Linked DNA regions of Macaca mulatta. Each later gene encodes a partner of the first gene's protein in a complex. Links are inferred from orthologs where the notes say so. Each region holds a gene or a part of one and is shown in the gene's direction. Other genes may lie near its edges. The genes, in order: NUP205, NUP188, NUP160, RANBP2, NUP93 and NUP214.

Evidence for each region.
Region 2: NUP205 (region 1) and NUP188 share a complex: the UniProt entries of both Homo sapiens proteins name them as parts of the nuclear pore complex. The link is inferred for Macaca mulatta from reciprocal best matches to the Homo sapiens genes NUP205 and NUP188.
Region 3: NUP205 (region 1) and NUP160 share a complex: the UniProt entries of both Homo sapiens proteins name them as parts of the nuclear pore complex. The link is inferred for Macaca mulatta from reciprocal best matches to the Homo sapiens genes NUP205 and NUP160.
Region 4: NUP205 (region 1) and RANBP2 share a complex: the UniProt entries of both Homo sapiens proteins name them as parts of the nuclear pore complex. The link is inferred for Macaca mulatta from reciprocal best matches to the Homo sapiens genes NUP205 and RANBP2.
Region 5: NUP205 (region 1) and NUP93 share a complex: the UniProt entries of both Homo sapiens proteins name them as parts of the nuclear pore complex. The link is inferred for Macaca mulatta from reciprocal best matches to the Homo sapiens genes NUP205 and NUP93.
Region 6: NUP205 (region 1) and NUP214 share a complex: the UniProt entries of both Homo sapiens proteins name them as parts of the nuclear pore complex. The link is inferred for Macaca mulatta from reciprocal best matches to the Homo sapiens genes NUP205 and NUP214.

What each region holds. Positions count from the first base shown.
Region 1 is NC_133408.1:175,446,371-175,451,825, forward strand, and holds part of NUP205 (nuclear pore complex protein Nup205), read left to right. Parts: intron 1-4; coding exon 5-154; intron 155-742; coding exon 743-814; intron 815-1,176; coding exon 1,177-1,334; intron 1,335-1,689; coding exon 1,690-1,770; intron 1,771-2,505; coding exon 2,506-2,697; intron 2,698-3,469; coding exon 3,470-3,737; intron 3,738-3,836; coding exon 3,837-3,935; intron 3,936-5,455. UniProt on the Homo sapiens protein: Plays a role in the nuclear pore complex (NPC) assembly and/or maintenance. May anchor NUP62 and other nucleoporins, but not NUP153 and TPR, to the NPC.
Region 2 is NC_133420.1:18,703,598-18,709,753, reverse strand, and holds the start of NUP188 (nucleoporin NUP188), read left to right. Parts: upstream 1-2,621; 5' UTR 2,622-2,631; coding exon 2,632-2,663; intron 2,664-6,156. UniProt on the Homo sapiens protein: Component of the nuclear pore complex (NPC), a complex required for the trafficking across the nuclear envelope. Required for proper protein transport into the nucleus.
Region 3 is NC_133419.1:17,735,215-17,741,148, forward strand, and holds the start of NUP160 (nuclear pore complex protein Nup160), read left to right. Parts: upstream 1-2,041; 5' UTR 2,042-2,222; coding exon 2,223-2,424; exon of another isoform or gene 2,425-2,683; coding exon 2,684-2,795; exon of another isoform or gene 2,796-4,368; intron 4,369-4,862; exon of another isoform or gene 4,863-5,062; intron 5,063-5,934. UniProt on the Homo sapiens protein: Functions as a component of the nuclear pore complex (NPC). Involved in poly(A)+ RNA transport.
Region 4 is NC_133418.1:19,360,877-19,365,168, forward strand, and holds the end of RANBP2 (E3 SUMO-protein ligase RanBP2), read left to right. Parts: intron 1-344; coding exon 345-618; intron 619-739; coding exon 740-1,065; intron 1,066-2,110; coding exon 2,111-2,416; 3' UTR 2,417-2,618; downstream 2,619-4,292. UniProt on the Homo sapiens protein: E3 SUMO-protein ligase which facilitates SUMO1 and SUMO2 conjugation by UBE2I. Involved in transport factor (Ran-GTP, karyopherin)-mediated protein import via the F-G repeat-containing domain which acts as a docking site for substrates.
Region 5 is NC_133425.1:52,443,813-52,448,094, forward strand, and holds the end of NUP93 (nuclear pore complex protein Nup93), read left to right. Parts: intron 1-895; coding exon 896-1,024; intron 1,025-1,798; coding exon 1,799-2,044; 3' UTR 2,045-2,482; downstream 2,483-4,282. UniProt on the Homo sapiens protein: Plays a role in the nuclear pore complex (NPC) assembly and/or maintenance. May anchor nucleoporins, but not NUP153 and TPR, to the NPC. During renal development, regulates podocyte migration and proliferation through SMAD4 signaling.
Region 6 is NC_133420.1:16,314,601-16,319,175, reverse strand, and holds part of NUP214 (nuclear pore complex protein Nup214), read left to right. Parts: intron 1-1,654; coding exon 1,655-1,817; intron 1,818-3,382; coding exon of another isoform or gene 3,383-3,407; intron 3,408-4,551; coding exon 4,552-4,575. UniProt on the Homo sapiens protein: Part of the nuclear pore complex. Has a critical role in nucleocytoplasmic transport.

The sequences.
Region 1 (5,455 bases):
CTAGAATATGAAATATCTATGCTGAACCAGATGTCATGGCTTATGAAAACTGCCTCAATAGAACTAAGGGTAACCTCTCTGAATCGTCAGCGGTCACATACCCAGAGGCTCCTACACCTCTTACTGGATGACATGCCAGTGAAACCGTACTCAGGTGATTATTGGTATTTGTTTTATTGTGCTGGTGACTAGTTGTTGTGAAGACAAACACAAATGTGAAGCTTGTGCTTAGTATGTGACTATAAACCAAAACTATCTTCTCACTTTTAGAATTTTTTTTTCTTAAAACACAAAAATTTTAACTCATCTTATGATTGACATTTATTATTATTTTAAGCATCCACATGACACTATAGTCATACCGGTATTACATACAGAATTGTCAGTGGAGTTTGTCATACTAAGCCAGCATGACCTAAGCTATTTCAATATGTATTCATGCAAATTAAGTATAAACTTTTAAAATCATCTCATTGGCATGATTGGATCTTGCCGTTTTTGAGAATCTGATTATTCTCTTTACAATAGTGAAGTGGATTCCATAGGGACAGAAAGAATTAGATGAATGTTGGTAGTAAGTCCTCGTCAGTCTTTGCATTTTAATTATCCATTTGCACAGGGCTGTTTGATGCAGAAACAATGACCTACAAATAAAATACCTTATGTTAGTTATTTCCAAATAAATGTAGTTTTAAGAGTATGTTCTTCTTTTTCTGATTCAATATTATTGATGTTCCAACAGATGGTGAAGGAGGAATGGAAGATGAAAACAGGTCTGTTTCTGGGTTCCTTCACTTTGACGCTGCTACGAAAGGTAATCCCCTTTGAATTTGTAATCAATTTATTTTATAGACATACATTAAATTGCTTAAAACTTCAAGGGATTATTATGCCTGTGCCTGCAAACTCTGAACTGGTATAGAAAAGCTATATAAAGGATTATTTGCCACCTGAAAATTTTTTTATAAAAGGATTATACAACAGGAAAGAAAATATTTTTGTTAATGGATGTATCAGAAATAAAATCAAATTTAGATTCCAATACAGTTTTCAGTTTCTTGACTATTTTATGCTGTTTCTGAAAATAGCACTATCTTTGAAAATCAACTGAATATGATGGTTTGCCCTTCCTTTCGATGTCCCAAGTAAAATCAAATTACTTTTTGTTATTTCTAGTACGTCGAAAAATTCTAAATATTCTTGACTCGATTGACTTCAGTCAGGAGATCCCTGAGCCTTTGCAGTTGGATTTTTTTGATCGGACCCAGATTGAACAAGTTATTGCTAACTGTGAACACAAGAATTTACGGGGACAGACAGTCTGCAATGTCAAGGTGAGGGTTGCTTTAAAGTACATATCTGCAGTGTCAAGTGGCTCAGACCTTAAGTCATCAGAAACAAATAGAACCATACAGGTTTTCTTTCTGATAGAGACATTGGTTTACTAGTTTATAGGAAGGACTGTGGTTTTTGTAAAATATCCCTGAAATAAATCTTAATGTATCACACTAACTTCTTGAAAAGGGATACTTAATATTTTGGTCTGGAAAGTGGACGTTGCTCTTGTTAGATTATATATAAAGGTATCTGACGCCTTTCCCTTTAGGGCAGTTTATGATAATTGCTAGGTGTTATTGTTCTACCAGTGTCTGAAATGTCTTATTTTTCTTTCTTTTCTTAATTATCCAGCTTCTTCATAGGGTTCTTGTAGCTGAAGTAAATGCCCTTCAGGGTATGGCAGCCATAGGACAGAGACCTCTACTCATGGAGGTAAGCTCTATTGAGTATGTGTTCGTTTCAACCTTTTAACTACTTAGGTTGCTGGTGAAAAGACTAAAATAGTATATTAACGTGTAGTTTGCTAATTAGTAAGCTACCTAAAAATTAAACATTTAGGGAGTCTTTCACTTTTGATTTTATAACTTTTATAAGCTGAACTATCTGGTATGCCGAAATAAATAACACCTTTTCTGCTAGACTAGTTAAGGATTTGCAGCCTGACCATATTTCGTATTATACCTCACTTGGTCCCCGTCAGTGAGAGAGGAGGGTCATTTGTCATCACAAGTGGAAAGTTACAGGTAAGAGGTCAGATGGGAAGAACCACATGCATGGAGACATAGCTGGCCAGGCCAAAGCAAGAGGCAAAGAAATAAAAGAGATGTCAGGGAAACATGCCATTGAACTTGGAGTTTAAATAATTCTAGTGCTCTAGAGTAAGCAAGTATAAGTAGATAGGTACAAGGAGAAAGAAGATAGTGTCAAAAAATACAAATTTATCTATGCCACCTCTGTCCCCTACCTTTCATGCACATACACACACACACACATACACACCTTATATATTAGTATTTTTTATAGCCCTGGCTACTGAAATAATATGAAAAGATATCTGCTTTGTGGCATGCATGTAGTAGGTTTCCAAATAGATATTTTCTGAGTAACTGACAGATAACTGATCTTATTTGCCTGTTTAACCTTGTGATTCCATTCCTGTGGCTTTAGGAAATCAGCACTGTACTTCAGTATGTGGTAGGAAGAAATAAATTGCTGCAGTGTCTTCATGCAAAACGTCACGCTCTGGAGTCGTGGAGGCAACTGGTAGAAATTATACTGACAGCTTGTCCCCAGGACCTCATTCAGGCAGAGGATCGACAACTGATTATTCGTGATATTTTACAAGACGTGCATGATAAGGTGACATACTTCCTAAATTACTTTATACTGCTGAACAAATATGTATCATTTAAACGAATAAATTTTGGCACCCCAATTGTTTTCCATTTTTGATTAGGAATAAAATAGAATTGCACAATACCAACATTAAGACTTTCCTTGAGAAAGGGATTAATTCTATACAGTAGTGACTGTCAACCAGAGTGTGTGTCCGAATTATCTAGGGAGCTTTGTAAAAGTTCACATGGACAAGCCCACCCCAGACCTACTGAATGTAATGGTGAGACCTTTTATGTGAATTTCAAAAAGAAAACCTCCTTAGGGAATTCTGATAGGAATCCCTTCTGGTTAAGAACACCCATTACCTAGCATCATATTTAAATTTCTCTGTATATATTAGATTTTTTTCTTTCTTTTCTTTCTTTTTTTTTTTTTTTTTTGACTAATTTCTGTATTCCATTCTTATATTGTTGTCACAGTTGACAAACTAAATATATATAAAACTTGTTAATGGGCTGTATGCAGTGATTCATGCCTGTAATCCCAGAACTTTGAGAGGCCAAGGTGGGAGGATCGCTTGAGCCCAGGAGTTTGAGACCAATCTCCTGAGGTGGGAAGACCACCTGAGCCCAGGAGGTCAAGGCCGAAGTGAGCTGAGATTATGCTACTGCACTCCAGCCTGGGTGACAGAGCGGGACCCTATCTTAAAAAAAAAAAAAAAAAAGCTGTGAAACTTGTTAATGATTATAGCTGAAAGCAGGATTCTCACTCTGATTTGCCCTTGTCCTTTAAGATACTGGATGATGAAGCAGCGCAGGAGTTAATGCCTGTAGTCGCTGGGGCAGTGTTCACACTGACTGCTCACCTGAGCCAGGCCGTCCTCACCGAACAGAAGCAAACATCAGTCTTGGGACCAGCAGATGCCCATTACGCTTTTATGCTTGATAGTTCCTTCACCTCACCTCCTCCAGAAGAGAACCCATTAGTGGGTTTTGCTTCTATTGGAGATTCTTCACTTTACATCATATTGAAGAAACTGTTAGACTTCATTTTGAAGACAGGTTTTTTTCATCTAAAATTTCTATAAATTCTATCCATTGTATTTGTTTTAACTTTAATTGAGAAAAGATTTTCATTTGACATCTTCCTAATCTCCCTAGGTGGTGGATTCCAGCGAGTGAGGACTCACTTGTATGGCTCTCTGCTTTATTACTTACAGATTGCCCAGAGACCTGATGAGCCAGACACCTTAGAAGCAGGTAGAATGAGATCAATTCCTAATCTTTTCTGGATTGGGAGATGGTTACTTTTTAAACTGAAAAAAAAAAAATCACTTCTCCATCTTTTGACTAATCACAACTGTAATAAATGAGTGTTGGTGTCATTTTTTAAAGCATTTACTCAAAAGTTGAGGGAGAATGTTTAGTTTTTAAGAATTATGAAGTAATACTTGAATACTGCTTTTAAAAAAACCTTCAAATAATACTTTAGGTTTATATACTTCTGTAACTCCCTCACTTGCCTCAAGTCCCACTGAGCAGTATGCTCTACATAGAATGGCCCAACGTCTTTCTTTCCTTTGTGCTACATCAGAGTACATATCTAGTTGATTCTTTTAAAATATCTCTTCCTGGCGTGGTGGCTCACGCCTGTAATCCTAGCACTTTGGGAGACCGAGGCCAGTGGATCACCTGAGGTCAGGAGTTCGAGACCAGCTTGGCCAACATCATGAAGCCCCATCTCTACTAAAAATCAAAAAATTAGCGGCCACAGTGGCTGGCATCTGTAATCCCAGCTACTCGGGAGGCTGAAGCAGGAGAATTGCTTGAACCCAGGAGGCGGAGGTTGCCCAGATCATGCCACTGCACTCCAGCCTGGGCAACAAGAGTGAAACTCCATCTCAAAAAAAAAAAAAAAGCCACAAAAAGTCTTTGTTATTCCATGATATGGATGAAACACTTATTTAGCCATTTTCCTTATTCATAGGCATTTCAATTGTTTCTAAATTTTTATTACAAAAATGCTACATCAATTTTTTTTATATGCCTATATTTCTCAGAAAGGATGCTGCTTAATGGTAGAATTTCCATGTGAAAAAGTATGTACTTTTATTTTAATAGATGCAAACGAATGACCTTCTCCAGTATAAACTCATCAATAGTATACACGTATCTTTTTGTACTAGTGAGGTTTTCTTTGGATAAATTGCAAGAAGTGGAATTTCTTGGTCAAAAGTTAGGCATATTTAAAATATTGCTAAATGGCTGCTTTCTAAATATAGTTAGCATTTTTAATTGAGACTAATCTTAAGACATGAAAATGTTATTAAGTGTTCAACAGATCAGTATATAATGCTTTATATACTTTATAGACATTTGATGTTCGATCAAGTCATTCAGAGTTATTCTGCTATTTGTTAAGTTGTCAGAGCACCTTCTGATAATGGACTTTCTTTGCACTCTTCACCTTTGTGAGTGTTATTTTGTATAGACTGTTAAAAACCACTGTGTACGTAAAGTTCAATTGATCTCATTATTCTTATGGTGGTTGTGTCTTATGCCATACATAGTACCTGAGAAGGTAGTAATAGCCAAATGGTAGATTTATAGGCATGTAGCACCCACATAAATAATGCATGAGAATATTTGTAAGGTGAGGAAAAATGACAGAATAGTTCAGAGAAGTTTTTTTAAGCAAACACAAGCTTCTTTTAAGAAAAGAGATAGTGATGGGATTTCTCCACTCTCAGCACCTCCCACATTGTTCTTTTGTGTGTGTG
Region 2 (6,156 bases), on another chromosome or scaffold:
TCTGGCCTCCTCCGAGGCTGCAGGGTGAAAGAGGTGGGGGGGGGGGGCGGCTCTACAGCACACTCAGGTTCTTTGAGTTGCTGGATTATCCCTTAAGACTCTTCATTTTAAGTATCAGCAAGGCTGGGACGGTGGCTCACACCTGTAATCCCAGCACTTTGGGAGGCTGAGGTGGGCGGACCACCTGAGGTTGGGAGTTCGAGACCAGCCTGACCAACATGGAGAAACCCTGTCTCTATTAAAAATACAAAATTAGCACGGGGTGGCACATGCCTGTAATCCCAGCTACTAGGGAGGGTGAGGCAGGAGAATCGCTTGAACCTGGGAGGCGGAGATTGGTGAGCCGAGATCACACCACTGCACTCCAACCTGGGCAACAAGAGCAAAACTGTCTCAAAAAAATAATAATAATAAAAAATAAGTATCAGCAAAACTAGAACTAGGAGAGCTTTGATTTTTATTTTAAATCTGAATCAACTGAAAAATCAAATCTGCTTTTCACACCGTGGCTCTTCATGCCCAAGTAGCTGTCTGCTGTGGGGACTGTTCGCCCTCCCCATGTCTGTTTCCTCTGTCACTGCTGCTGCACTGTAACAGCTAGGCCATCAGCAATATCAGGAGGTAGAGAGGCAGAAGGAGATTGTCTATCTGTGTAGTGTATGCTTCCAGGAGGGACACAGTGCTGATGGACCCCAAAATCCAAGCGTAACTGTAGTTTAGGTCCACTCCACTGTCAAAGATTAAGATCAGAGCTACAGAAATGATCTGCGCAAATATAGATGTCATGGTCCCCTCAAAAGTCTTTTTGGTTCCAGGCCAGCGGATCTCCCCCATGGTGCTACCAAAGATGGAGGCCACAGTATCACCCACACCCACAGCCAGGACACCAGCATAGGGGACGAGGGCCCTGGCTCCCCCCAGGCTACCCTTCTGTGTGCAGGGTCTGGGGATCAGCCAGATGGGAAGAGACATGCCCAGGAGCAGATAGATGTGTGTCAGAATGAGTGGTCCACTGTCTCGTTCATCCAGAAAAAGGGACAGGAGGCTCCGTAGAGTGTGACCCAAGGGCTTGATGCGGAAGTAGCGCACATACTCCAGGAAGATGAAGACCGCCAGACATACAGTGGCAGCTACATAGAGCAGTGGCCGGTCAAAGATGATACCTGGGATGTAGGTGGCTACCACAATGAGGTGGAAATACTTTCGGGCGATGGTGGGGGCCTGGTGCTTCTTGGACTCGGAAGATGACCGCTTGGCATTCTGGTACAGCACCACCAGGCAGGCCAAGGTGGCTAGCAGAGACCAATAGGCTAGGAGGTAGATACGGGTGTCTGTCTGGAAAAGGAACTGCAGAAGCCAGAGCAGGGGGTTCCTGCGGATGAGCCGGTGCAGCCAGGGTAGGACCACACCAAGGCTCAGCACACAGGTCATGAGGTGGAAGAAGATGGAGGAGGCCCAGGTGCCTGAGTCCATGAAGACAAAGAGAGTGCTGAAGAAGATGCCCATGAGTACCATCCCTACTACCACCACCAGCAGGAAGAAGTCCACTGGGTCCCCCTGACTTTCCACCAGTGTCAGAGAGCGCTTGATGAGCTGGTTGAGGACAAAGCTAATGCCACCCAATACCAGCAGTGCCTCACCAGGGGTGAAGCAGCGGGGCAGCAGGTACAGCAGGATCATGTTGAGATAAACGAAGATCAGCAGGACTTCCAGGACTTCGATCACCTCCCCCACGCTCAGCGAGTGCTTCATGATATAAATGATAACACCTCCAGCCAAGCCCAAGATGACACAAGTGTTGGTTGGCACTGGGCGAGTGATACCGAGCGCCAACACTGATGAGAAGAGGGCCACTGCCATGCCAGTGGCTGCCACCACAATGCCAAAACGCTCAAAGAACGGGTTCCCAGCAGCCTGGCACCGTTCCTTCATGACTAGTCCAAGTAAAGGCATGACCATGGAGGCGGGCAGTAGGCCACTGTTTGCGGACATTCGGAACTGGAAGACGGCGCTTCCCTGCTGTAGCAGCCGGTCCCACTTGTATTGGACGTAGAAGGCCTGCACTGCGAGGGCCACGGCGCACCACGAGTATCGGTCCCATACAGTTGCATGGATGCTCAGCACCACTGCAAACACTACTGCCGCCTCTGCCAGCACCGATCCACTCAGCGGAGCCCCAGGCCCCGGGACCGGCGATGGGCACTCTCGGGTCATGTCTCTAGACCTGGGGCTTCACAGAGGCCGGGGTGACTACGGACGTCCTAGACTTCGGGCCCCTCAGCCCCGCCAAGCAGAGGGAGGCACTTTCACTCGGCCAGCAACCTTCTCCCTCCGTTCTCCAACAGCGAGGAGGGAACTCCACCGCAGGTCACTCTCTGCGGCCTGGGAGCTGGCGCCCGGCCACCCCCCACAGCCTCCAACCTACGGCGTAGACGTCGCCACTCTGCAGCCTTCCTCTCAGTTACAGCCGCCCCCGCTGCCGGCTCCTCACCTCTTTGGGCCTCGCCATCTTGGCACTGCCCCGCGGCAACGTCACGTGATGAAATCCCCGCCCACGCTCCCGGTCCGGGGGCGAGCGGTCACGTGGGCATGGCGTCTGGGGGCGGGGTTAGGGCGCGCGCGCGCTCGAAGATGGCGGCGGCCGCCGGCGGGCCGTGTGTGAGGTGCGGAGCGGGTCGAGTGGACCGGGGTGGCTGTGAGGCGCGGGGTCAAAGCCGAGCGGAAGAGGGGCGGGAATTGGAGGCGGGATGTGGCGACGGTGGCAGGGCCAACCCCGGCTGGGTGGACGGGCACTGAGACAGGAGGCGGTTACGTCCAAACGGTCCCCGCGCGCGGGGATCTGAAGTCTTCTTCAGGAGGGGGGCCGGCTCTTCACCCCTTCGCTCCGCGGTTGGCCTCCCATCTCCTCATCCAGGGGACTTTGCCTTCCTCTCCTCTCAGCTCCGGCGCGTCCCTTGGCGCCCCACCCGCGCTTCCTTGTCCGGCCGTGACGCTCCCTCGAGCCACGGGGAGCTTTGCGGTCGCCTCGGGTACCCCCCACCCACGTCCCTGCTGCAGGCTCCCAGTGTCCTGCCCCGGCGTCGAGTGCGCCCTGCTGGCTCCCCAACCTCTCCCGCGGTCTGTTCTTGTTAGGATTTTGTTTCGCGTCGAGCGGAGCCGCGCTTGCGGTTTCTGCCCTCTCCACGCCTCGAATCGTTCTTTTCTTGCATTGAATCAGTCGGCGAGCATGTCCAAATCCTCCAAGAGATTTAAGGGACTGAACTAGGCTTTAGGGACAAGAAGATGAAATATTACATACGAAAGCTACAATTCTCACAAAGTGCTTTCTAGCGTCAGACCCTGATGGAGCGCTTCCCATGAGTTACCTCATTCAATTCTCGCAACTCCGAGAGGCGCCTTGTATTTCACGGATGACTCAGAAGTCCGGCTCAGAGCTAGCCAAGTGATAAAGAGAGGATTCAGGCTGAAGTCTGCGTGCCTCCAGTGCTATAACCAGACCACCACGCCTCCCTCCGTTTTCCACATTGCAGCTCGAAGGTCTTCGGTCTTCCCACCACCCTCCCTCCTTAAAATTAAACATCCCTGCCTCTTATCCTTCCCTGTGCCAGCAGTGTTTTCCCCACTTTTTTTTTTTTTTTTTTTTTTTGAGATGGAGTCTCACTGTGTCGCCCAGGCTGGAGTCCAGTGGCGCCATCTCGGCTCACTGCAACCTCTGCCTCCCGGGTTCAAGCGATTCTCCTGCCTCAGCCTCCCCAGTAGATAAGACTACAGGTGCGCACCACCACACCCGGCTAATTTTTGTGTTTTAAGTGGAGACAGGGTTTCACCATTTTGGCCAGGCTGGTCTGGAACGCCTGACCTCAAGTGATCTGTCAGCTTCAGCCTCTTTAACTGCTGGATTACAGGCATGAGCCACCATGCCTGGCCTGAATACTGTCTTGTTATGAGAAAAATGATTAGTGATTCCAGTGTGCCATGTGGGAGTTGGTGGCTATTAATTGAGCAGAATCGAAGTTGCTTTTAAAGCATTAACCATTAGGAAAGAGATGTATAAATTTTAGGTGTGTTTAAACCTCTTTTGATGAGAAAATCCTAAAAGACTAGTTATTTGAGACAGAGTCTCACTGTTGTTGCCCAGGCTGAAGTGCACTGGCCCGATTTTCACTCACTGCAACCTCTGCCTCCTGGGTTCAAAGGATTCTCCTGCCTCAGTCTCCTGAGTAGCTGGGATTACAGTCGCCCGCTACCACGCGCAACTAATTTCTTGTATTTTTAATAGAGACAGGGTTTCACCATGTTGGCCAGGCTGGTCTCCAACTCATGACCTCAGGTGATCCGCTGGCCTCGGCCTCCCCAAGTGCTGGGCTTACAGACTGACAATTTTAAAACAGAGCTAGTGCTTTGTGTTACAGTGGTTTTTTTTGTTTTTGTTTGTTTGTTTTTTTTGTTTTTTTGAGAAGGGGTCTTGTTCTGTCACACAGGCTGGAGTGCAGTGGCAGGATCTTGGCTCACTGCAACCTCTGCCTCCCTGGCCCAACTGATTCTCCCACCTCAGCCTCCAAAGTAGCTAGGGCTACAGGCACATGCCACCATGCCTGGCTAATTTTTGTATTTTTTGTAGAGACAAGATCTCACTGTGTTGCCCATGCTAATCTCGAACTCCTAGGCTCAGGTGATCCTCCTTGATCACTCCTGATTATGACTCACTGCAGCCTTGCCCTCCAGGGCTCAGTGGCGCCTCCTACATCATCAGCCCTCCCAGGAGCTGGAAACATAGGTGCACACCACCACACTAGCTAATTTTTTTTTTTTTTTTTGAGACAGATTCTTTGTCGCCCAGGCTGGAGTGCAGTGGCGCGATCTCAGCTCACTGCAACCTCCACCTCCTGGGTGCAAGTGATTATTGTGCCTCAGTCTCCCAATAGCTGGGACTACAGGCATCTGCCACCATGCCTGGCTAATTTTTGTATTTTTAGTAGAGATGGGGTTTCACCATCTGGTCTGTCCAGGCTGGTCTCGAACTCTTTACCTCAAGTGATCCGCCCGCTTCAGCCTCCCAAAGTGCTGGAATTACAGGTGTGAGCCATTGTGCCCGGCCCACACTAGCTAATTTTCTATTTTTTTTTGTAGAGACAGGGATTCGCCATGTTGCCCAGGCTGGTCTCAAATTCCAGGGCTCAAGTACTCCTTCCACCTTGGCCTTCCAAAGTGCTGGGATTACAGGTGTGAGCCACCGTTCCCGGCTTATTTTTTCGTTTTACCTTGTAGTTAACATAGTTTGCATTCTTTTTTTTTTGTTTGTTTGTTTTTGAGAAGGAGTCTCGCCTTGTCGCCAGACTGGAATGCAGTGATGCGATCTCGGCTCACTGCAACCTTTGCCTCCGGGTTCAAGCGATTATCCTGCCTCAGCCTTCCAAGTAGCTGGGACTACAAGCACGCACTACCATGCCCAGCTAATTTTTGTGTTTTTAGTAGAGACGGGGTTTCACCTTGTTGGCCAGGATGGTCTCGATCTCTTGACCTCGTGATCCGCCTACCTCGGCCTCCCAAAGTGCTGGGATTACAGGTGTGAGCTACCACATCCAGCCATAGCTTGCATTCTTTTTGCAAAATGTTTAGCATAGTTTAGGATCTTTTCATCCCTTCTCTCTCTGCAGATAGGCTTTCTAAGCAGTGTTTGATTATTACAGATTACTATTCTCAGTGATGGTTTAGAATCTGACAAAATAAAATCTCTGTACCTTTAATAACTTTTTTTTTTAAGTAATAACTATTTATTGAGAGAATGTCTTTTTTTGTTTGTTGGAGATAGACACATCGTCACCCAGGCTGGAGTGCAGTAGTGTGATCTTGGCTTATTGCAACCTCTGCCTGCTGTGTTCAAGCGATTTTTGTGTATCAGCCTCCCGAGTATCTGGGAGTACAGGAACCTGCTACCATGCCCGATTAATTTTTGTATTTTTAGTAGAGATGAGGTTTTTGTTTAGTAGAGATGGGGCCATGTTGGCCACGCTGGTCTCAAACTCCTGACCTCAGGTGATCCACCCAACTTAGCCTCCCAAACTGCTGGGATTACAGGCATGAGCCACCATGCCTGGCCAGGTTAAAATCTTATGTTTTAGTTTCCTAATTTATATTTTGAACACTAAATTTCTA
Region 3 (5,934 bases), on another chromosome or scaffold:
GATGTCCTTGAGCAGCTGTTCTACGGAAGTAGAAAGGTTGTCTCAGCATAAGCTCAGAGACAGTTTAATTTATAGTAACAGGAAGGGAAGGCAAAATATGTGGCTACAGATGGTGGTAGGTGGGGAGATGTCATTGTAGAGGAAGTCCTCCCTTCCTCCTTCCTTCTTTTCAGATGGGTCTCTTTCTGGCCATGCTGGAGCGCAGTGGCAGGATTGTAGCTCACTGTATCCTCCAACTCCTGGGTTCAAGAAATCTTCCTATAGCTGGGACTACAGAGGGACACCACTATGCCTGGCTAATTAAAAAAAAAAAAAAAATTATTGGAGATGGGGGTGTGTTGCCCAGGCTTGTTTTGAACTCCTGGCCTCAAGCCATCCTTCCATCTCAGCCTCTGATTGCTTTAATTTTCTAAATGAAGCAGCAAGTGGAGAGTCAGGATGATGACGGAGGCAGTGGAGGTTTCGGGAGTTACGAAACACTCATTTAGAACAGTAAATGGAGAAAGCAAATACCATGTGTTTGCCAGGCAGCAAGATAGGTCCACTCAAGGTACATGGTCCTGATGGAGTTAGAGGGAAGCATGTCAGTATGGGTGTATAGTTTTCTGTTTTCTTTCTTTTTTTTTGAGATGGAGTTTAGCTGTTGTTGCCCAGGCTGGAGTGTAACCGCGCGATCTCGGCTCACTGCAACCTCCACCTCCCAGGTTCAAGCGATTCTCCTGCCTCAGCTTCCCAAGCAGCTGGGATTACATGCACGCATCATCATGCCCCCGCTAATTTTTCTTTTTTTTTTTTTTTTGGAGACGGAGTCTTGCTCTGTCACCCAGGCTGGAGTGCAGTGGCGCGATCTCGGCTCACTGCAACCTCTGCCTCCCGGGTTCAAGTGATTCTCCTGCCTCAGCCTCCCGAGTAGCTGGGATTACAGGCGTGCATTACCATGCCCAGCTAATTTTTTGTATCTCACTGTTTCACCATGTTGGCCAGGCGGGTCTGGAACTCCTTACCTCGTGATCCGCCCACCTCTGCCTCCCAGAGTGCTAGGATTACAGGCGTGAGCCACTGCGCCCGGCTAATTTTTCTGTTTTTCGTAGAGGCCGGGTTTCACCATGTTGGCCAGGCTGGTCTTGAACTCCTGACCTCAAGTGATCCTCAAGTCTTGGACTCCCAAAGTGCTGGGATTACAGGCGTGAGCCACCACACCCGACCTTGGTGTATAGTTTTCTTCAGGCACGTTCAGCTACAGATTTGAATGTAATCGAAGTTGTTTTTACTGATGAAGAGTTAGGCAATGAAGTAATTTAATGGTATTCAGGATAAGGAAGAAACACCAAAGAAGTGAGGGACAGTGAAGAGCTTGTATAACAATGGATTTCAGGTAGAATGAGGGGGCTGCACTGCCAAAGTTGGTGTCCCAGAGGGAGTGAAGTGGAAAGATAGGAAATGATGGTCGGAACCAGATAAATGAAACAGAGAATGACAGGGAATGGCTGTGGTCACTGGTAATAGAAGTGACCAACAAGCGTTGGCTATCACTAAGGAACAAAACCTTCCCTGCTGGAGATTAGCATTTTCCCCGATTTTGAACATCTACCCCCACAATATCTTCTAAACATCCACTATGGGCCCTTATTGCATTGACAGCCAAGTGCAAGATCACGGTTGGAATGAATGGCAAATTCTTTTCACGTATCCAAGTGAGTAGCACTCAGGTAACCTCAGCAGGTGGCAGCATCAAGGTTTACCACATTACGTTTCATTATACAGGAATACACGAATACAGTCTCTTGGGGGGAAAAAAGACCAAAACCAAAGGCCCTTCCCTCACTACCCCTTCCTCACCCCGCCAACCCAAGTGCCACTGAAGAGCGAAGGGAGGATCGGCAAAGATTTACAGACGGACACCCTAACCGAGGGAGAGGTGACCAAACACCCGGGATCCGGCAGAGGACGCCCAAAGGCCGGACCTCCCCGGACCTCGCCCCTCCTGGGAGACTGAGCCCCGCGTTTTGGAAACAGAAACAAACCCGGTCCCGCCCCCTGCCCTGCGGCCGCTGAGAAAAGGGCACCGCCCTCCGGAGGCGTTCCAGCCGGCCACTCGAAGATTCCAGCAGATACAGTCGGCCTCCCCTGCCCGCTTCTCTTCTGGATTCCCCGCTGCCCATCCTCATTCTCCCGGTGGAAGCCCCGCAACGAAGGACGGAAGCCCCCTTTCTGCTCCCGGGATGCTTCACCCGTCCGCAGCTCCGCCCGCCCCGCCCCCGGAAGTGACGGCGGCCGCGCGGCCCTGCCTTTGTCCCGTCGGGCATCGCGGCGACGGCGGGAAGATGGCGGCGGCGGGATCCCTGGAACGAAGCTTCGTGGAGCTAAGCGGGGCTGAGCGCGAAAGGCCGAGGCACTTTCGGGAATTCACAGTCTGCAGCATTGGTACGGAAGTGGCCAGGGAGGGCGCGATCCGATCTGTCCCCTCGGGCTCCTCTCATGGGTCCTAGGGTCTCTGACTGCTGGGTTCATCCTCCTGAGTCCACATGCCTCCAGCCCCGGGATCAGAGATTCCTTGATGTCCGACGTTTTCCTCTTTTCTTTGTATGGGTTGTCAGTCTGTCACCCTCTGCTTTATCAGGTCCCTTAGTCCCTGTCATTTCTCAGAAGACGCGTGTGCAGGCTGACCACGTTCATTTTGCAGGGACCGCAAATGCCGTGGCTGGCGCCGTAAAATACAGTGAGAGCGCGGGAGGCTTTTACTATGTGGAGAGTGGCAAGTTGTTCTCCGTAACCAGAAACAGGTTCATTCATTGGTAAGTGCTGTGGTTCGCCAAACTCCCCTGGAAGGTAGGGTTTGGTGTGTAAATTTTAGTTGCTGTTCCCAAAGTGCTATTCTAGAAGCGGTAATCGACACTTAGGGAAAGAGAAAGTTTTTTTTTTTCAGTTCGTATCAGAGTCGGGAAAACTGAGACAGTTCTAGAAGAGTTTACCCTCCCCCCCCACCAATACACACACACACACCAAGCAACACCAAAAGCAGAGGGAATGTAGCTTAGGGGTATAAAGCCCATAAGACTAGTTTTAAACATGAACCCATTATGTTTTTATAGTGCTTTACAGCTTCCTTCATTGAACAAATATGTTCGAGCTTCAATATGTCAGGCATTGTGCTAGGTACCAGGACGAAATGAACAAAACTGCCATCTTCATCATGCAAGACGTTGTAGCAATGTCAGAATAGTTGTGGACTCACTTTTCATGGGGAAATTTTGTGGAGGAAAACTTGCCCTAGAGGAAAAATACAGGGGTTACGAGAGGCTAATGAGAGGACCAAATGTTATTAGTGGGGCAGGAAAAGGCTTTCACAGTTACCCTGAGATCTAAAGGACACGAGGTTAGCCAGGTATGGGGAGTGGACAGAGAGGAGTCCAGCAAGCAGGATCACCATATGCAAAGGTCACAAAGTGGAAAGAATGTGGCAGGTTTGGAACTGACCAAAGATCTGTGTGGCTTAAGTGCAGTGGGTAAAACAGAAAGTAATGTGAGATACTGAGGCTGGAGAGGTAGGCAGGACTCGGACCATGAGGGACCCTTAGGCCATTTTTAAGGATTTTTGGATTTTATCCTAAGTACATTGAGTAATAATGGAATAGGTTTTTAAAGAGTTACTAACATCAAAATTGCATTTTTGGATGGGAACAGTTAACACTGGGGATTCCAAAAGGAGCGGGGGAGCAGAGGTTGGAAAACCTATCAGTTACTGTGTTCACAACTTGGGCGGCAGGATCATTAGAAGCCCAAACCTCATGTAGATAGGAATATATACACAATATACTCATGTAACAAAGCTGCACATGTACCCCTGAATCTAAATTTTTTAAAATGTATTTTTAGAAGATCTCAGTCTACTTTGTGGAAAGTGGATTTGGATTAGATGGGTATAATGCAAAAAAAAGTTTGCTTTTATGATGGCCCAAGTAAGGGTTGCTGGTGGTTCAATTGTGGGAATGAATAGAAATAGAAAAGTAGATGGATTCAAGATACCTTTGGAAGATAGATTCACTAGGACTTGGTGGTGGATTGAATATGGGGTAAGGGATGGTAAAAGAAAAGGAGAGAACAAGGACAGCTCCCTGGTGTCTCATGTGACTAACCAGATGTGAGTGGGGAGGGGTTGCCATTTACAGAGATCCATAGAAGATGGATTTTGGAAAGATATGAATAATTCTGTTGGACATAGTAAATTTGAAGTACCTGGGGAGCAGCCCTTTGGAAATGTCAAGTAGGCATTGAAATTTACAGGTCTAAGGCTCAAAAGAGAGACTTTATGTTAGAGATACAAATTTCATTTAGTTAAATATTTTGGCTGGGCACAGTGGCTCACACCTGTAATCCCAGCACTTTGGGGGGCTGAGGTGGGAGGATCTCTTGAGGCCAGGAGTTCAAGACCCCATTTCTACAATTTTTTTTCTTTTTTCTTTCTGTTTTTTTTTCTTTTCTTTTTGAGAGACAGTCTGGTGGCTCCATTGTCCAGGCTGGAGTGCAGTGGTGCAATCATGGCTCACTGCAGTCTCCGCCTCCTGGGTTCAAGTGACCCTCCCACCTCAGCCTCCCAAGTAGCTGCAATTACAGGTATGCGCCACCATGCCCAGCTGATTTTTCTATTTGTTTTTGTAGAGATGGGGTTTTGCCTGGTTGCCCAGGCTGGTCTTGGACTGCCGGACTCAAGCAGTGCCCCATTCTCGGCCTCCCAACTTGCTGGGATTACAGGCGGAGCCACCATGTCCGGCCTGATTTTTAAAAATTAGCCAGGCGGGGTGGCATGTGCCTTTCATCTTAACCACTCAGGAGGCTGAGGCGGGAGGATCTGATCATGCCACTGCACTCCAGCTTGGGAAACAGGGTAAGACCCCATCTCTTTTATAAAAACAGGAAGAAATAAAGGAAATTTGCTTGCCTAATATATTTCAGTCCATTTTTAGGGAATAGGGATATAGCAGGGAACAAAACAAAGTTCCTACTCTCATGGAGGAAAATAGGCAACAACAACAATAACTAAAAAAACAAAAAACCCAAGTACATGTAGTTTTGTTACAGGAAAAGGGTGCCGATCCAGGCCCCAAGGGAGGGTTCTCAGATCTCACACAAGAAAGAATACAGGGCAAGTCCGCAGTGCAAAGTGAAAGCAAGTTTATTAAGAAAGTAAAGGAGGGCCGGGCGCGGTGGCTCAAGCCTGTAATCCCAGCACTTTGGGAGGCCGAGACGGGTGGATCACGAGGTCAGGAGATCGAGACCATCCTGGCTAACACGGTGAAACCCCGTCTCTACTAAAAAATACAAAAAACTAGCCGGGCGAGGTGGCTGGCGCCTGTAGTGCCAGCTACTCGGGAGGCTGAGGCAGGAGAATAGCGTAAACCCGGGAGGCGGAGCTTGCAGTGAGCTGAGATCCGGCCACTGCACTCCAGTCTGGGCGACAGAGCGAGACTCCGTCTCAAAAAAAAAAAAAAAAAAAAAAGAAAGTAAAGGAGGCCAGGTGTGGTGGCTCACGCCTGTAATCCCAGTACTTTAGGAGGCCGAGGCAGGTGGATCACCTGAGGTCAGGAGTTTGAGAGGTCAGGAGTTTGAGACCAGCCTGACCAACATGGTGAAACCCTGTCTCTACTAAAAATACAAAATTAGCTGGGCGTGGTGGCACATGCCTGTAATCCCAGCTAATTGGGAGGCTGAGGCAGGAGAATAGCTTGAACCAAGGAGGTGGAGGGTGCAGTGAGCTGAGATTGCTCCATTGCACTCCAGCCTGGGCAACAAGAACGAAACTCCATCTCAAAAAAAAAGTAAATAAATAAAAGAATGGCTACTCCATAGACACAGTAGCCCCAAGGGCTGCTGGTTGCCCATTTTTATGGTTATTTCTTGAAGATATACTAAACAGGGATGGATTATTCATGCCTC
Region 4 (4,292 bases), on another chromosome or scaffold:
ATTGTTCTAGGAAAATTATTTTGTCATTTTTAACCTCAGTATCTTATATATTTCTCTTCAGTAGCAGACACTTTTGAAACCTCTGTTCCTATAAAGAAAAGCATTTAATTTCCAAAGGGAAAATGAATACTATATAAAAGAAAATATTTAATGACAAATCAGGTCTTTACTCCCTCAGCCACATCAGATGTATTCCTAGCCCTAAGATATATAACCAATTATTATATTAACAAATTCTCTTTGTCATCACAAAGAAAATGCCTTAAAAGAATTTGGATCTTTGAAATTTGTCATGGAATTTATTATAAGCAGCAGCTTATAGAGTATTTCATCTCCTATTATAGGTAGAAGTAAAATCTGGAGAAGAAGATGAAGAAATTTTGTTTAAAGAGAGAGCCAAACTTTATAGATGGGATCGGGATGTCAGTCAGTGGAAGGAACGTGGTGTTGGAGATATAAAGATTCTTTGGCATACAATGAAGAACTATTACCGGATCCTTATGAGAAGAGACCAGGTTTTTAAAGTGTGTGCAAACCACGTTATTACTAAAACAATGGAATTAAAGCCCTTAAATGTTTCAAATAATGCTTTAGTTTGGACTGCCTCAGATTATGCTGGTGAGTTTTTACATTCAAATGTACTTTTCATTTTTTGGACTTTTCTAAAATCTATAACAAAACAACTTATAACAGTTATTTTAACACTAAGGTCACTCCTTCCCCTTTCCCTCCTTAATAGATGGAGAAGCAAAAGTAGAACAGCTTGCAGTGAGATTTAAAACTAAAGAAGTAGCTGATTGTTTCAAGAAAACATTTGAAGAATGTCAGCAGAATTTATTGCAACTCCAGAAAGGACATGCAGCAGAATTATCAAAGGAGACCAATCCTGTGGTGTTTTTTGATGTTTGTGCGGACGGTGAACCTCTAGGGCGGATAACTATGGAGTTATTTTCGAACATTGTTCCTCGGACTGCTGAGAACTTCAGAGCACTATGCACTGGAGAGAAAGGCTTTGGTTTCAAGAATTCCATTTTTCACAGAGTAATTCCGGATTTTGTTTGCCAAGTAGGTATTATTAAGTACATACCGCAATTGAGGTCTTAAAGAGTGCACCACACCAGCGGGAAATTTGGGTGTTTTTCCTGGACCTCATCCTGTAGTTTTGTTTAAGATTTCTTTAGGTTTTCCACACATGGAATCACATGGCATCACTACCCATTCCCTGCTCCTGCCTAAAACTTTCACCCTAAAATAATTTAGGCTGGGCACAATGACTCACACCTGTAATTCCAGCACTTTAGGAGGCCAAGGCAGGCAGATTGCTTGAGCCCCAGAATTTGAGACCAGCCTGGGCAATGTGGCAAAAATCTCATCTGGACAAAAAATACAGAAATAAGGCGTGATGGTGTCCGTCTGTGGTCCCAGCTACATGGTGGCTGAGGTGGGAGCATCCAGGAAGCCAAGGCTGCAGTGAGCTAGGTTTGCGTCACTGCACTCCATCCTGGGCGACAGAGTGAGACAGCCTGTCTTTTTTTTTTTTTTTTTTTTTTTTTGAGACGGAGTCTCGCTCTGTCGCCCAGCCTGGAGTGCAGTGGCCGGATCTCAGCTCACTGCAAGCTCCGCCTCCCGGGTTCACGCCATTCTCCTGCCTCAGCCTCCAGAGTAGCTGGGACTACAGGCACCCGCCACCTCGCCCGGCTAGTTTTTTGTATTTTTTAGTAGAGACGGGGTTTCACCGTGTTAGCCAGGATGGTCTCGATCTCCTGACCTTGTGATCCGCCCGTCTCGGCCTCCCAAAGTGCTGGGATTACAGGCTTGAGCCACCGCGCCCGGCGAGACAGCCTGTCTTTAAAAAAAAAAAAAAAAAAAAAAAGTTAAATTTTCAGTACTTGAGACCTAGTAGATAGAGACTAAGGGATGGGAAAAACCTTTTCATTTTTCATCTTCTTTCCAACAATATGAATTTCTTAGGTTTCAGATTATACTCAGGAAAGCTGGGCTTTAGGATTTATCCTGTAGCGATGAGTTCTGTGTGTATTTTAGTATTTTACTCAGGATTCCTATTAATTGAAAAAAATTTTTAAACTTTTGTTATACATTTTTTTTTCAGGGAGGAGATATCACCAAACATGATGGAACAGGCGGACAGTCCATTTATGGAGATAAATTTGAAGATGAAAATTTTGATGTGAAACATACTGGTCCTGGTTTACTATCCATGGCCAATCGAGGCCAGAATACCAATAATTCTCAATTTTTTATAACACTGAAAAAAGCAGAACATTTGGACTTTAAGCATGTAGTATTTGGGTTTGTTAAGGATGGCATGGATACTGTGAAAAAGATTGAATCATTTGGTTCTCCCAAAGGGTCTGTTTGTCGAAGAATAACTATCACAGAATGTGGACAGATATAAAATCATTGTGTTTCATAGAAAATTTTATCTGTATAAGCAGTTGAGTTGAAGCTTAGTTATTACAATTTGATAATTATGTTCAGCTTTTGAAAATGGACGTTTCTGATGTACAGATGTAAAATTGCAGCTTATAGCTGTTGTCACTTTTTAATGTTATAATTGACCTTGCATGGTGTGAAATAAAAGTTTAAACACTGGTGTATTTCAGGTGTACTTGTGTTTATGTACTCCTGACATATTTGTATTAAAATGGAATAATACTAATCTTGTTAAAAGCAATAGACCTTCTCAAACTATTGAAGGAATATGATATATGCAATTTAATTTTAATTCCTTTTAAGATATTTGGACTTCCTGCATGGATATACTTACCATTTGAATAAAGGGACCACAACTTGGATAATTTTACTTTAGATTTGAAATATATTTGGTAATCTTAACTATTGGTGTACTCATTTATGCATAGAGACTCATTTATGAATGGGTAGAGCCACAGAACGTACAGAGTTAACCAAAGTGCTCTTCTCTAGAATCTTTACACCTCCTGTGTGGTTACAAGTTAACTTTGTAAGTAGTGTACCTTCCTTCCTTAAAATATCTAGCTTCCTGTGCTCTTTCATAGGTATTCAATTAATTTTTACATTTTAAACAAGTTGACTATTTCCTTTAGGGGTTTTGTTTTAAACTTTTCTGTCATCTGTCTCTACTACCTCAGAAACTGCAGCTTGGTTCTGATGATAGAAATTGAATTTTTCCTTGTAGTTACTGTGATAAAGTATGAATATTTTTAGAAAGTCTATGCCATGTTATTTGGTTAAAGATTTGCTTTATACAGGATTGTTGCAGTACCCTTTTCTGGTAAATTTTGTAGCAGAAATAAAATGACAATTCATAAGAGCCACTGACATTCAAAAAATTCATTACTTGTGCTTCTGGTTATTCTAAAGGAAGACAATTCAGAGGCAGTAAATTCAAACTGCCGCCTAACTTCCAGAGCTAGTTTCTCAAGTTTGATATACACTGAAAATGTATTTGGAAATGGCTTGTATCAAATGTTAGGCAAATTGCTAAAGAAAAGAGGATGTTCTTATTGGCCTACTCGATATGGAACTACAAAGAATCCAGGTAGAACACAAAATTCTGTATATTGCAATTATGAATACTGACTCTCTTCCACCCAAAGAACACATTCTTTCTGGTGAAATTACCTCATTTTATTTAGTGAGGAAAGACAGGTTTATTCCCTGTTATATGGGGATTTGGAAATTGGGTATCCTAAAGCAAGTAACTGTTCAAAAGAGGGGAGGGATGTTGTGCGAGTAATGATTGATGGTATACCATCACCATTCCACTCAGCCACAAAGCCAGATACCTGAAATAAACCTACTCAAGAACCATGGATTACATATGTTTACACTAAATATTTCAAATTGGCTTATTTGGAAATCTATGTAATATAAACTGATGTAAAGTGTGTTGTAACTTTTCAGCTGAGACAGCTGATGCCTTCGTCATGATTTTAGAATAAATTCTTAACAATGCAAGTGCGTTTTAAGAGACTTTTTGCAGATTTCTATGCTTTCCTAAAGCATTGAAGTTACAAATTAAAAAGCTTTAAACTTTGACCAAAAATTTGACAAAATGACATGTAAACTGACTTTTCTAGTATTAGTATTCCAAAGATGCTTAACAGTGGCTTGTGGCATTTATGAGAAAGTCTTTGTGTCACATTTCAGGAAAGGACTTTGATTTTGTTATTTAATCACTGATGTGGTCTAAACCCACGATGATATGTATCTTTCCTTTTAAACTGGATTTTATATTGTCTCATTGAAATCTGCTTAAAGATAGAATAAAGTAATTCATTATTTGTACA
Region 5 (4,282 bases), on another chromosome or scaffold:
ATCCCGTCTCTACTAAAAAATATAACAATTAGCCAGGCATGATGGCGCATGCCTGTAGTCCCAGCTATTCAGGAGGCGGAGGCATGAGAATCGCTTGAACCCAGGAGGCAGAGGTTGCAGTGAGCTGAGATTGCGCCACTTCACTCCAGCCTGGGCGATTGAGGGAGACTTTGTCTCAAAAAAAAAAAAAAAGTTTCTGTTTTAGAGAAAGAAGTAAGGCCAGTTCTGCACATGAAGAGGGATGTTGACTACTGTGGTACACACAGTTCAGAAGGTCTTACCCCTTGCTGACTTTCCCTTTATACCTGCTGTGGTTTCTACCCTTAGCCACTTGCTCCTTTGTTATTTCTAGCCTTTCCTTGAATACATCCTTCATTGCATCAGAGATTAAAGTAGTACACCAGGGCCTGCCCTTGTAGACACTCCCAAGGACTCTGGTAGGGCCATGCAGATCCAGTGGAAACAGCCCACTGACTTTGAGAGAGTGGGGAGTGGTAGGGACTGTGGAGAAGTAGCATGTGCACCTGTACCTCCTGACATTCAAATTCAAATTATGTATTGGCATCCACTCTGCTGGCCAGTCTAAGCCTAATGCTAACCAGATGTCAGCATGCTTTTTTTGGCTTGCTGCCCCTGACTAAGGGAAAAACAGCATAAACAGCATAAAGGAGCAGAAACAGTAACCACCTGACCTGAGGAGCATTGCTTGGGGTTTTTTCTCACACTTGATGTTTCAGTGCCATCAGCTCCTTTTGGGTGACTGTGTGGCTCTCCACCTGGTAATGGTGAGGAGTGATGCGACCAGGCCCGCCTGGAGCAGCCCACCCTCCCTCCATCTGTGGTTGGCCCGAAAGGCTTGGTTCTTGTTCTTTACTCCGTTTTTCTCTCTGTGTAGATCAGGCACAACCTCTCAGAAGTGCTTCTTGCCACCATGAACATCTTGTTCACACAGTTTAAGAGGCTCAAGGGGACAAGTCCATCCTCATCATCCAGGCCCCAGAGAGTCATCGAGGACCGCGACTCTGTAAGATCCCAGCATTCACGAGAAACATTGCTGAGCACCACCTTTCTGGTTTGGAATCCGTTGCACTCTTATTAAGAGACCACGTGACCCAAAACTGCTCTTTCTCCTTAGTACCTGGCAGCTGGATAAATCTCGTGTTAGGGGGCTCCCAGAGGAAATCAAACATTAAAGGGATTGCTGCTCTTCTCAAGCTTAAAAAAATAAAAAGAAGTGCTAGGTCTGCAAATCTTACCTTTTAACAGATCACACAGAATGCTAATTTCTAGTTGACTCCTTAAGAACTTCCTGCACATTTTAAAAGATAAGTTTATTTTGTTAGTCCTAGCTCATTAGTGAACACTTTTATTAAAACCATACTTTATTTTTGATCAACACATTAATTTAATGTGAACCCTTGTTTCTCCTGTCACGGTGTTCACAGTGACCCTACAGAGGTAACTAGCACAGCATCTTATCCCCTCTCACAGCTGAGGAAACTGAGCTGTGGAGTTGGGAAGCAACTGCCCTCAGGTGGCAGGTAGGTGAAGGGGCCATGTCTGGAGGCTGGGTCTCTGACACCTGTGCCCTTTCTGCTGCCTGTGGGACCTCTGGCAGTGCGTGGGTCAAGTGGAATCCAGGTAGCTAGAACCCTGGGGCTCACAGCATATGTTGTCTGATTACAAAAAAAAAAGAGCAAAGGTATTTTTTGACCCAATTAAACCATAAGGGGATAGTACAATGGTGTTTTCTTTTCTTTTCTTTTCTTTTTTTTTTTTTTTTTTTTTTTTGAGGCAGGGCCTGGTTCTGTCGCCCAGGCTAGAATGTAGTGACATGATCTCAGCTCACTGCAGCCTCCACCTCTTGGGCTCAAGCCACCCTCCCACCTCACCCTCCCAAGTAGCTGGGACTCCAGGTGTGCACCACCACACCCAGCTGAGTTTTGTACTTTATATACAGATGGAGTTTTGCCATGTTGCCCAGACTGATCTCGAACTCCTGAGCTCAAGAGATCCCCCCAACCTCGGCCTCCCAAAGTGCTAGGATTATAGGTGTGAGCCACCGTGCCCAGCCCCACAATGATGTTTTTTAAAATTACCTTTCCTTTAACATTTCCGCTTAATTTTTGATGAGACTCTCAGGATCTCAGTGTCTAACATCAGACTTGGTTTTGGCAGCCAAGAAGCCATGTTCTGTCTTCTGCCTCTGAGGATGTCTGTGAGCTCTTTCCACTGTGACCCCACAGGCATTGTTGTTGATAAAACTTGTGCTTAGTGAAAGATGGTGGAAATTTCCACCTTTAGGAATGTGGGTAACAGTGCTCAAGAGTGGTCCACTGAAGTGGTCAGCCCGTCCAGGTGCGCACCAGAGCATTTGCTGGTCTTCTCCTTACCCTGGACAGATAGGAATCTAAACGCCAGATGTGCCAGCGGTGGGCTCATGGTGCCTACCACTTGGCAGGAATCTTTTTTGATAATAGAAACCCAGTGCAGTGATGTTTGTGAATGTGAGTATTGAGATAGTGGATACTTCTTGGTGCTCTGTGTGCCACTTACAGTTCAGGCAGGCTTGCCCACTGAGAGGAGCTGGTCTCTGGCAGGCCATGTCCCATGTCTGAAGATCATTCTCCTGCCTGCCTTTTGCCCACCACTCTCCTTTTTCTTTCTTTTTCTGAAAGGTAGGGGCGAATAGGATTAAGTAAAAGGTTATATATAAAAGTTGCGTGCCCAAGAGGTCTGCAAGCCCACTGATGTCCTTGGTTTCATGGTTTAAAGTGAGATACTGCCCAGTAAGGGAGTGAATCCTTTTACTTGAACATCCCTAGAGCTCATTTCAAAGAGCCCATGCACTTTCATTCACTTCTAAAGAAAATACAATGGGTATTCCTATCACAAAGTCAGATTTCTTTTTGTTTGGACATTAGTAAGGACATGCACTCGCTAGTTTGTTTTACACATCAGGTAAAAAGCATTTGCTTTTCAATTTTCTTCTGGAATGGTCCTTAAGTAAGCCTAGTAGATGACTCTTCAGTTTTTCTTTAAATTCTTGTTACTAGTCCAGAAAGGTGTTTGTAGATTCTCCCTTTCTAGTCCAGATTTGGTTTAAATTTGTAGGGCCACCTTTTTCCCTCCTGGAACAATCCAGGAATTCCATAAATACTGTTGCCTGGGGAAAGAAGGGCTAAGCATGTATATCAGGAAGGGAGAAAACAGGAGGAACGAAAGGAAGGAAGAGGAAAGATGCATGGGAGGAAGAAAGCCGGCGTGGGACTGCACAGTCACAGCCCTTGCCTCCGGTGTTACAAGGGCTTCATGGGGCTCTGGAGACTCAGATCCCTGTGAAAGCAGATGGACAGAAACCAGCCAGAGAGAGAGGCTCTGAAAATTGGAGCAGGCAGTTCTGAAGCTCAGGGCTGTGTCAAAAGCTAGCCAAATGTGTTGGGGCGAGGCGGCTTGCCTGGCAAACCCATCTGCTTTTTGCTTAGTAAATGGGTTTGGATGCCTGTGGAACAGGGGCCTTGGGGGACGAGCTTTGTTAACTTTGTGTCATGCTGAAGGAATACGACAGAGGAGGGTACGACTGTCATCCACCCACCAGGGATCTGTCCCTGACACCCCAGGGTGGAGGATGGAAGAACATGGAATAGTGCCCTGACTCAAAAGTTAACCAATTTCCTTTGCTTCCTTCCCTTTTCTCTCAGCAACTCCGAAGTCAAGCCCGAACTCTGATTACCTTTGCTGGAATGATACCCTACCGAACGTCTGGGGACACCAATGCGAGGCTGGTGCAGATGGAGGTCCTCATGAATTAAGTGCCATGCTTTGGGGACATCTGGGTCGGCACACTGTCAGTACATCAGGCACATGGGCCCACTAGGGTGGGGTTTCTGGTTTTGTTTCCGTTGTGTTTTGTTTTGGTTTCTGTATTATGTATTTTTGTCAACACCAATAAATTTCTTTGATTTGTATTTCTTTTCAACATTCTTTTATTTTCTTTTTTTTTTCCTTTGAAATTTTGTTTACATTTTTATTTGTGTAATGGGGAATGCTGTCACTAGCTCTTGGGCCAGGGAATGAGAGGCTATGTAGATATTCATTATTTGGTTAAATTGACCTTAAATAATTAAAAATTTACCCAAAATGAGCCAGGAAACAAAGGCTTTGGGAGTTACTTTTATTTAGTTACAATATTCTATATAGCAGAGTCACGATTCATTTTCACATTTTTATTTGAATGTGAAAGTCAACCTCAGCCTTAGAAGATGTAAGATTTGTGTGTGAA
Region 6 (4,575 bases), on another chromosome or scaffold:
CCAATTTAAAAATTGTACATGGGGTGACTACCAAGTCTCATTCAAAGGAGGTGTTGATGCCTGAAAGTTCTAAAATGCCTCTCACCACGGTACTGGGCTCAACATGAGCTGAAGACTTGGGGGAGGGGAGATGATTTTGTCTGGGGGAATTGTAGAGATACTTGGGATCTGAGTCTTGGCAAGCTAACAGCATCTTTATCTTGAAAATAAACTATAGTATGTTCTTACTCACACCCTTTCCCTCCATGCAAGATGCTGGAGCGCAGCAGCAAGAATGAGGGTTGGCGTGCTGCTGCTCCTGTTTCACAGGGAGACTAATGCCTTAGGTTTGCCCTCAGGAAACCCCAAGAATTAAGTTAAGGAAAGCTTGGAAAAGACAGTTAGAGACCCACTTAGGCTGGTATTCTCAGAGGTCTTAATGGACGCTGTTCTCTGCAGTGATGACCTAGCACATAGTACCACAGAGTTGGTGGAAGGTGTGGGTTGACTGGGTATCTTGAGAATTGATTTATTTATTTGAAACCAGCTGTTTTCTTTACTAGTAGAAAAGTATCATATTCTGCCTTGGGGCAGCTCTCACACAAATCCTGACTGGCTGGTTAGTCAGTCCTAAAAAGGGTTAATACCAGGTCAGTTATTAAATCCCCATAAAAGCCCATTACCTTCTTCCAGGTCCCTGGCCATGAGCCTGTCTCCTACCCTGAAGGGCAGGCCTTTGAGAAGGGCAGGCTGTTGCTGATGAGGCCCAAGGCAGGAGGAGGAAGGGAGCAGATGCTCCTGGGAGAAAGTCCAATGAGGGCAGATCCCTTGGCCACCTTTGTATGGAAAGAGCCTTGACCTCACCATTAACGGTGAATAGAATGGTGGGAAGGGGGAGTTTTAGATACTTTTTCTTGCTTTGGGGTTGACTCTTGCCCCAGGTGCTGCCCCTTCTCCCAGAAACCACTGATCTATTTCCCTCACCTAGTCACCTCCAGACCCCAGAAGCTCTCGCCAACCCAGCTGAATTCCTCTGCAAATGATTCAGGGGGCTCTGGTAGGCCACACAGTGCCACCTTCTGTGCTGGACCATATCTGGAGGGAGAACTGAGCGAGGGTGCACAGGGGATTGTCTCCAGGTGGGGCCAGCAGGGGAAAGAAAATGGTGGCCACTTTTACATTGTTTTGGATAGTAATTATTGATTCAGGAAACAAATACAAAATCCTGAATGAAACGACTTGGAAAACGTAAATAGAATCAAGATCCCAAGAGGAGCTGAAGATAAATAAATGGGAGCGGGGTGTGGGGGAATGGTCGGTAAGTGAGAAATGCTAAAATGATAGAATAAAGCTTCAGGATTGTTGGAGGTAGAGCAGGAAATGTGTACTGCACAGTTCCCAAATGCCCTGGTGTTCTGATAGGGGATGGAAACCAAAACACTGGCCAGGTTGGATTTCATACTGTAGTCCTGCCGTTTTTCTTCCCAGAGCAGAGATAAAAGTTGGCCCTGAACGATAGCTCGTTCTCTCTAAAAGGCTGCTAGTTAGGCCCAGCCTGTCACCCTGGATCATGTGTGTCGTGTATATTGAGATTTACGGCAGGGGGCTGAGGCTTGCAGATGGCCGAGTGGTGAGAGGCCCCACTGACCTCGGTCTGTTTCTCACTGGAGCGCAGGTTTGGGAGCAGCAGCAACACCACATCCTTCGGCACACTCGCGAGTCAGAACGCCCCCACTTTCGGATCACTGTCCCAACAGACTTCTGGTTTTGGGACCCAGAGTAGCGGATTCTCTGGTTTTGGATCAGGCACAGGAGGTGAGCTGCTACAAGTTCTCCCTGCGCAAGCACAATGGGTCCCTCTTGCCTTCTTCCCCCAAACAAATGAGTATGTTTTACCTGACCAGTCTGTTTAGTATTTTAAAAGCTGACCAGGCACGTGGCTCATGCCTGTAATCCCAGCACTTTGGCAAGGCGGGAGGATCACTTGAGCCCAGGAGTTTGAGACTAGCCTGGGCAACATGGCAAGACCCCATTCTCTACAAAAAATTTTAAAATTGGCCAGACATGGTGGCACACACCTGTGGTCCCAGCTACTCAGGAGGCTGAAGCAGGAGGATCACTGGAGCCCGAGAGGTCGAGACTGCAGTGAGCTGTGATTGCACCACTGCACTACAGCCTGGGTGACAGAATGAGACCCTGTCTCAAAATAAATAAATACATAACATACTGAAAGTGGTTGAAAAAAAAATTTTTTTTTTGAGACAGAGTCTCGCTCTGTTGCCCAGGCTGGAGTGCAGTGGTGCGATCTCGGCTCACTGTAAACTCCGCCACCCAGGTTCATGCCATTCTCCTGCCTCAGCCTTCTGAGTAGCTGGGACTACAGGCGCCCACCGCCACACCCGGCTAATGTTTTGTATTTTTAGTAGAGACGAAGTTTCATTGGGTTAGCCAGGGTGGTCTCCATCTCCTGGCCTCATGATCCACCCGCCTCAGCCTCCCAAAGTGCTGGGATTACAGGCGTGAGCCACCGCGCCCAGCCGAAAAATAAATATATATATATATATGTATGTATCTCATACCAATGAAGAAATATATATATTTTTTAGGTTTTGGTTAGGCTTAGAACATTGTGTCATTTCTTACCAAAGAAATTACTGTCTTTATTTCCTCTCAGGATTTGAGAAGCCCAACATAATAATGGTCTTACTAGGCCTTGGTTTAAAAATCTAAGCCAACAGACTAAAAAAAAAAAAAAAAGAAAACACGTAGAAACTTCACAAAACATGTTGCATTTGTTTAACACTCTGCTTCTTCAGACGGCAGAATATGTGTCTTCCGTTTTGTTCTTGCAATAAACTGATGAGGCACAGAATTTAGGTATCATTACAGTCGTACCAATGACGAAACAGAAACTCCAAGGAACTAAGTGATTTGCCGAGAGTCAGTTAGCAGCAGAACCAGGCTTAGAATCCAGCCATCTTGCTTCTCTGGCCCTCAAAAAGAAGAGGAAGCAAATGGATGGAAAAACAACCACAGCACAAAAAAAAAAAAAGTTTTCCTAATGAAATGAATCTGTGTGGTCCAGCGCAGTTGAGAGAGAGGCCAAACCAGAGACCCTCTGCCTACAGCTGGGGCCGGGGAGGGAGGAAGAACCTAAAATACCAAGAAGATAACTCATAAAAAGTAAAGGATTTCTTCTGCCTTCTGGGGGATCTGAGCAGCTCCAGAGGACAAACTCAGAATAAAGGGGCTTCTGCATGTACCTTTCCTGCCTTCCTGTAGGTGGGGGAGGCATGGAGGGCTTCCCATGACTGAGAAGCACAGGAGGGCAGGCACTTAGCATGGGGACCACCTTCATCTTTCAAGTGGACGCGTGCTTTAACTTCTGTCTTCTGCTTTTCAGGCTTCAGCTTTGGATCAAATAACTCGTAAGTATCCCCCTTTTTGAGTCTGACCTTAATTAAAAGCATTAAATAAGGTTGGAAGTGTGTGGATCTTGCTGGATTTGTGCATTTTCTTTTCATTTTTTCCTGTTTTTAGAGTTTGTCCTGGAAGTGTGGGGGTTCAGCAGCAGGGTTTAGGTTTTGTGGACTTGCTCTTCTCCGTAGCAATGTGACAGAAGGTGCCAGGCCTCGCCTTCTTAAGAGACATGGTTCAGAGAGAAAGAGAGCAGCCTGCCAGTGAGCCGGGCCTGAGGGCAGCGCTGAGGAGATGCTGCTCGTGACTTCCCTTGTGGGTTTCTCGGAAGCCGTGTGCTAACCCCTGGGCTCTGGGCCATCACCAGGTCTTGTGCTGATCCATCCTCTTTGCTTCTGTGTAGAATTTCATGGCGTTAAAATTCAGTCTTAGCCAGGTGGGTGGTTCATGCCTATAATCCCAGCACTTTGAGAGGCTGAGGTGGGAGGATTGCTTGAGCCCAGGAGTCAAGACCAGCCTGCGTAACATAGTGAGACCCCATCTCTACTAAAAATTTTAAAAATTAGCTTTGCATGCTGGCTCATGCCTGTGGTCCCAGCTACTCCAGAAGCTGAGGTGGGAGGATCACTTGAGCCTGGGAGGTCGAGGCTGCAGTGAGCCAAGATGGTACTGCTACACTCCATCCTGGGTGACAGCCAGTCCCTATCTCAAAAGGAAAAACAAAACAAAACTGGACAGGCACAGTGGCTCACACCTGTCGTCCTAGCACTTTGGCAGGCCAAGGTGGGCAGATCACTTGAGGTCAGGAGTTTGAGACCAGCCTGGCCAACATGGTGAAACCCTATCTCTACTAAAAAATATATATATATATATAGATACACACACACAAATTAGCCAGGCATGGTGGTGCATGCCTGTAATCCCAGCTACTTGGGAGGCTGAGGCAGAAGAAGTGCTTGAGCCTGAGAGGTGGAGGTTGCAGTGAGCTGAGATCACGCCATTTCACTCCAGCCTGGGCAACAGAGTGAGGCTCTATCAAAAAAATAATAATAAAAAATCGGAGTCCTGACCTTTGCCCACAGGCAGAGCAGCAGAGCCTGTGACTGCTCTGTGACAGAGCAGCTGACTCCACCACTCTCCTGTGCTTCCTTGCAGGTCTGTGCAGGGTTTTGGTGGCTG